Linked DNA regions of Oryzias latipes. The protein of the gene in region 2 interacts with the protein of the main gene of each other region in a pairwise test. Links are inferred from orthologs where the notes say so. Each region holds a gene or a part of one and is shown on either strand. Other genes may lie near its edges.

What was found.
Region 1: the proteins of abl1 (region 2) and msh5 interact in binary tests that used the Homo sapiens proteins (3 or more experiments, as listed by UniProt). The link is inferred for Oryzias latipes from reciprocal best matches to the Homo sapiens genes ABL1 and MSH5.

What each region holds. Positions count from the first base shown.
Region 1 is NC_019874.2:17,863,406-17,865,948, forward strand, and holds part of msh5 (mutS protein homolog 5), read right to left. Parts: intron 2,468-2,543; coding exon 2,358-2,467; intron 2,240-2,357; coding exon 2,159-2,239; intron 2,076-2,158; coding exon 1,988-2,075; intron 1,899-1,987; coding exon 1,831-1,898; intron 1,352-1,830; coding exon 1,233-1,351; intron 1,136-1,232; coding exon 1,009-1,135; intron 753-1,008; coding exon 603-752; intron 399-602; coding exon 324-398; intron 1-323.
Region 2 is NC_019870.2:12,807,024-12,810,854, forward strand, and holds part of abl1 (tyrosine-protein kinase ABL1), read right to left. Parts: intron 1,747-3,831; coding exon 1,591-1,746; intron 814-1,590; coding exon 518-813; intron 1-517. UniProt on the Homo sapiens protein: Non-receptor tyrosine-protein kinase that plays a role in many key processes linked to cell growth and survival such as cytoskeleton remodeling in response to extracellular stimuli, cell motility and adhesion, receptor endocytosis, autophagy, DNA damage response and apoptosis.

The DNA.
Region 1 (2,543 bases), on a different chromosome or scaffold from region 2:
GGCTTGAAAAAAAAAAAGTAGAGAGCATCCGAATTGCATCAACATCCAGGGCATTAGACAATACTATATACTACGCACTGTAGTCTTTTAGGTGTTTAGGGAGTAGTGAGGGAATTCAGATATGGCTCTACTCACTGCAGCGTTAAGAAAAGACACATCTGCGTATCTGCAGGAGTCAACAGCTGGTATTGCTTTTTCTTTCATTGGTTGACTAATTTCTGGTTGATCTGAGTGTTTGTTTCAAATAAAGGGCATTTTGTCTCTTTGTAAGGCTCATAAACAGGCGTCTAAATCCCATGACAACTTGAAATGTTTCTTCTTACCGAGTTCGTCCCTTTTCCAAATTCATCAATGAGTAATAATGAGTTGCCAGTACTGCTGTTCAGAGCCTGGGCCATCTGGAGAGGAGAGACAGACTGTGGTTCACCACTTTGTTCTTTTATTGTTTGCACGACGGCAGTGAGAAGAACAACCAGCACTTCATAGAACCTCTTAACAGTTGGAGAGTGGGAACAGAGATGGAAGCTGTTTGTATTTCTTTCTGTGCAGCAAACACAAATGACACGTTTGAGTAAAAAGGCGAGGCGACGTCTGTGAGGAACCTGGTTGAGGTCGATCATGAAGGTGCTGAGGCCCACAGACACAGACTCTCTGCTCTGCATGCGCGTGTAGATGCCGTCCACCAAACCGATTTCTGCTTCCTTCGCCGGTACATCCGAGCCGATCAGAGCCATGAAAACGATCAGACCCACCTTACAAAAGCAAAAACAACATGCGTCGCTAACCAACAACCCTGCAGCTATTGAACATTTAAAATAAGATTTAACTCAATGGAGCAAATAGTGAATCAATTGAAAACACACTATAAAGGCTGATTATGCACAGAAGACATGCAGAAGACAAAAAAAGATCCAGGACCACCCAAAATGTCAGCATAGATCAGTTTTTAGGAAGCTGGTTATGGCATATACACAGTATCATACAGTAAAAAAAAGGATGGTGTCCCACCTGCTTAAGGTAGATACTTTTGCCTGAAGAATTGGGACCGGTGATGATCTTAACTCTTCCCTCTTTATCAAAGCTCTGGAAGGAATTTGCCACAAAGACAGGAGAGCAGAGCTCCAGCAGTGGATGTCTGCAGACAGAAAAAGAGAAAAATAAAGGTTAGGATTATGGGGAAGTTTCACTGCATCTTAATTATTTATACCCAATGTTTGTGTGCCTAGCCGTACCTGCCCTGTGTGATTGTTATTTTTTTGTGGCTGGCCAGCTTGGGGGAAGTGTAACTGTACTCCTGGGAGGCACTGCTCATAGCCATCAGGCAGTCCAGCTCAGCAATAAGATCCAGAACCTGCACATTGTGTACATACAGTAAATTCCTGCATTACCTGAGGCACCACTGTGGTTAAAAATGCATAACCCAACTGCTTGCCTACTTAAAAACCCTCATTCGGATCAGATCAAAGATGGAAATCACAGCTGAATATGTAATTTACGGTAAAATGAAGGGAAATACATGTGAAGCAAATAAAAAATGAAAATATTGCTGCTTTTGCTGTAATAACATTGAAAAGAAAAATGAAGGTAATGTGTGAACCCTTTATTCCTCTACACAAATGGAAACATCTTAAAGAATTCAATTGGTGTGTCAAATACAAAAACAGGTTTGTACAGTAGTATCCACCAGCTGACCTTCACTCACACTTCCCTTTTACATAACATCTGCAATCATGGAAATTGTCAAAAGGTGAAATAGAATCTGGGTCAAGATCATGTCTGTTTGTCATGAATCACAACTTAACATGACCACACAGAGAGCCATCAACCCACCTGATAAAGAGAAGGACTCCTCTCTAGGATTGCATTCTGCAACTGGGTCATCACTGCGGTTTCCATATCTTTGAGACCCAAACAAACAAAACATCATAAATATGTGCAAAGAGCTACGCTGATTTGTCATTACTGTAAAAATAAAAAATAAAACTACCTCTGATGTCACAGTGCATGTCTCCAAGAAGCTCGTCGAGCTCCCTGGTTCTCTGGCTGCGGTAGTGCAATCGATCCTCCGACAGAAACTAACAGATGAGACTTTAGATCAATATTCTCTGGTTTTCAAAGAAAAGAACACAAAATACAAACCCCAGGACTACAAACGCACCATAAATTCAAGACCCTCCATCTCAAAGTCCTCCTTCTCCACCATGCTTGGCAGCCGTGGCAAAGAGAGCAGAAATCCAATCTGTAACGATAAATATACTCTGATCCAGAAAAAAAACAGCTTTCACAATCAGAATTATAATTCCAATGCCTGAAAACAAAAAAGTGTTTTTTTTTTTCTAGAAAGGTAGTGATCTGACCAAAGGGATGTAAATGACACAACACGATGGAACGCGAGGATCCAGATGTTCAAGTTCTCTTCGAGCAACGTCCGTCAGGAAGTCGGACAGTCCCGCCATCCTCCTTTTCTCTGGCAGGAGCACAGAGTGGCGCCTGGGTCAGCTCGACAAGCATACAAAGGTCACACAGAGCTTCTACAAAAAGGT
Region 2 (3,831 bases):
TCTGCAGCTCTTCACAAGAAGCCCAGTGGCATTCTTGTCAAAGCTGGAGCTCACCTCACTGCATCATGGGGAGGTGGGCAACGGAGGCAACACTAAATATTTCACCCTTTATCCAAAACCCTCTCAAGTCTTTTGTTTTCACCTGTTTTAGTAATAGTCGGGTCTTGTTTGAAGTCTTTTTGGTACATCCAATCCGCACTGAAGATTTAAAAAATTGACGGAACAAACCTTTAACAAAGCTTTAAATTCACCTAAATTTCTCTCACAAAGGTTTTGACTGATTTCTAATATTTCTGTCTCAGATACAGACCCCCCCCCCCCCATTTCCAGATTTCGAATAAAATCAAAGCTTCTCCTCTAGCTTTTGAACTATTATTTGGCAGATCTGAGAAAGAACAATTTGAAACTATTAATCATTTTCATCATAAAAGTGCCCTTATGCAAAAAGAGAAAAGGATACACAAGATGAACATTAGTTTGATGGCTCATCATCGCAGGAACAAAATACAGTCTTTACCTTGCCGTCAGATGCAGTGTTAATCCTGTAATGGTAGACTCTCCCCTCATAACGTAGAGAAATGGACCTCTGTCCGGGACTGCTTTCGCTCTCTCGCACCAGGAAGCTTCCGTTGATGCCTGAGCTGAGGAGGTACTCGGCAGCGTTGCGCGACACGGGTCCATGATACCAGCTGTGCTTCTCCAGGCTGTTAACTGGGGTGATGTAGTTGGATGGGACCCAACCTTGGCCGTTCTTGGTCTGTGCCTCGCACCACTCGCCATTGTGGTTGTAACCCAGCACACGCAACTTCTCTCCTAACCGAGAGAGCAACAGAGTGCAATTATAGTCCATGTTCTCTGGGGTTGAGAACAGGCGTTTTAATAAAACTTTCATCTGGAATTCAAGGGCTTATATTCCACGTTATGTTGTTGACCCAAACCCATGAAGTTAATCTCTAACTGACTAGTTTGGATTGAAAAGATCTCAATGATAAAACCACTAAAGGTCATTTCATTTTTGTGAAATAAAAACTGTTAAACCATAAGGCGCAACAGATGAACCCCCAAAAAAACCCGGAGGTGTATTACATTTCTATGGAAAGTCTTGTTTTTCCAGACATATTCCTGTTTATTCCGGAGTCTAGGTTCCCTCCTTCCTTCATTTGTCTGTGTCATCCATCTGCAGTATTGTTCAACAGTGTGCTCAGTGGGAAAAGCCCCATGTGTGAGAGCATGGTCAGGAAGTGAGAGTCTGATGGGACTGAGGACAGAAGGGGGAGCACAGAGGATGCAAATAAGGAGATTCCCATTAGCAGTGACAACTTTACAGACATGTGTTATCTCCATTTCACTTCCAGAACAAAGAAGCAGAAAAAGAATCCTATTCAATCTAGTGTGAGTCACGTCTTCCTAGAAGAGCTGTTCTATCTAAAAACTGGGAAATGGACAGCATTTCCTATCTGAATGATAAACCTACTTGTCTGTTATCCCCATATTCATATCTCCCAAACTTCTTTCTACTTTTTTTTTTTTTTTTTGCTTTTAAATGTTGGCAAAGCCAAAAGACACTAAACTGAAAGCGTTTTTCCTTACCTTTCGTAATGCTTAGTGTGTTATCTCCACTGGCAACGAAATCATAGAGTGCAACAAACAGGTTGGGGTCATTCACACTGGGACCTGCCAACAGATTCTCTTTGGAGTTCCAACGGGCTGCATCTCCTAGACCAAACTCGGGTCGCTGTAGAGCTTCTAGGACAAACAGAGACAGGAACATTAGCAGAAGGCTTACATTGTACTTAACTTTCATTCAAACATTGGCAGCAACAAGACAGATTCATGACTAAAAGAGCCACTGTGGGATCTGCAGCAGTGCGGGTGCAGATGATTCTGCAAGAACCCTTAAAAATGTGCAACAAGCTCTTTCACCTCTCCTCTAGCTTGTTCTTACAAAGCCTTTAAGACCATTTCGGATTTTTGTCAGAATTTGTGTCAGCACAACTTTTCATTTCCTGGATTAACTCTATTTAGCAAAAACTTTCTATAATACTCCAAGCAAGTTAAATAACCCCCACTAAACCAGGAGAATATGTCTCAGCATGAAACTTCTTGGGTTCTGTAAAACAGTGCACAGACCTAAGGCATTCAGTCATGTTAATTACATACACTTTATGAATTATAGCAATTTTAAGACTGGAAACTAAAGTTCAAAGTTTTATAATCTCCCCATTATTAGGGGGGAAGGACTATTGTGTTTTATCTAAAAAATCAGGCTTAAATACAGTGCTTCTTCACACCCCCAGTGAGATCCAAGACGGTTTAAAATTAAGCACTAAGATAATTGAAGCAAGCCTAAAGAAGCCACAATTATCCATCAAAACCTCAAAAGGATAAGACAGATCCAAAATGGAATCACAGAGCCTCCCTCCTCCCCCAAGTAATGGAAAAATAAATGACTGACTAGTGATATGAATTATCTACAGATTAAGTGCCACATTTGAAGGTTTTATTGCAGAGCTATATGGGCATGCTGGGAAATTATAGGACCGTTACCACGTCAAAATTCCTAAAGATGCGAGTTATTGTTTAAAAACACTCATGCTGACTTTGTTTTCTGCGAGCCATTGTTTGAAAAATAATAATTTGTTCTCTCTGTCATCCACTCAGTCTTCTCTCATCAGATTTCTCAATTACTTCACAATCCAACCGTGTTTATAGAAAAGCCTCAGTGGACCTGTGGTTGACGGACAACAAGGATTTGGCGTCCAGTTCCTTTCTTTCAGATGAAACTCAACTTAATTAAGTCCAACACTTGCATACACTGAAAATGGGGTATTGTTTATATCATCTTAATACCAACAAGATAACCGTAAGCTATGCCGATGCATTTTATTAGCTTCTGGCAAGTAAGCCTCATTATCCAAAAGCATCACACCTACCCTGATTGGCTGTGATCTTTGGAGGTGTTCAGCCCAGGAAGCCTGTGTGCATTAATAAAAATTCCCCGAACTGCTTTGGCAACACACAAGGGTTGAATTCCCTTCCAGCACCAGTCAAGAATCTACTTTCATTTCGTCATCTAGAGTTGGAGCGCTGCACTCTTCTCCCCAGCTCAGTTATGTGCAAAGGTATGTGTCAAAGACAGTTGTATCTAAAGGGGATTCACAGATCACAAAAAAATGAAAAGGCTAACAAAGCTTAAGAAATCTGTCGTGTGCCTCTGCAAATGACATGAGATGCGTCATCAAAAGAGCATTGCTAATGTTGGTAAGAAATAAGCCTGTATAATAAAAATAAGAAAATCACAAACTTATTGTTGTCGTGATATAAGCTTGTGTGATATGTGTATCACAAAAGATGGCGCAAACTGCAATAAATTACCTTCAATGTATAAAGTATTTAATCAAATAAAGCCTTTTACGCATTTGACCAATTGTATGGACCCCTTTAGGTCATTGACCAATCGAATGGAGAGCTTTCATGTTAGATGTCTGCCTCCTATGTAGATGTCAAGAGTATAATTTAAGGTATGTTGACTTTTATTTAAATGAAACTGCTGCAGTGAAATGGAAACGATGTTTTAGTTGTTTTTTGTTTTGCTATTTGTTCATGGATCGCAGGTTTTCCTCATATGGTGCAGCTCCAGTTAGAAACATTACAAGAGTCATATTGCGACACAAGTAAAGCTGTAGCAGGCACTCTTAAAACATTTTTAAATCAGGTGTAATTACGTATTACACTACAGGTGTATACGAAAGGGCATAAAAAGAAGGAATATTGCAGCCTCCTTTTTGGAAAAAAATATTTCATTAAAGGATATGCTTGCTATAATATTAA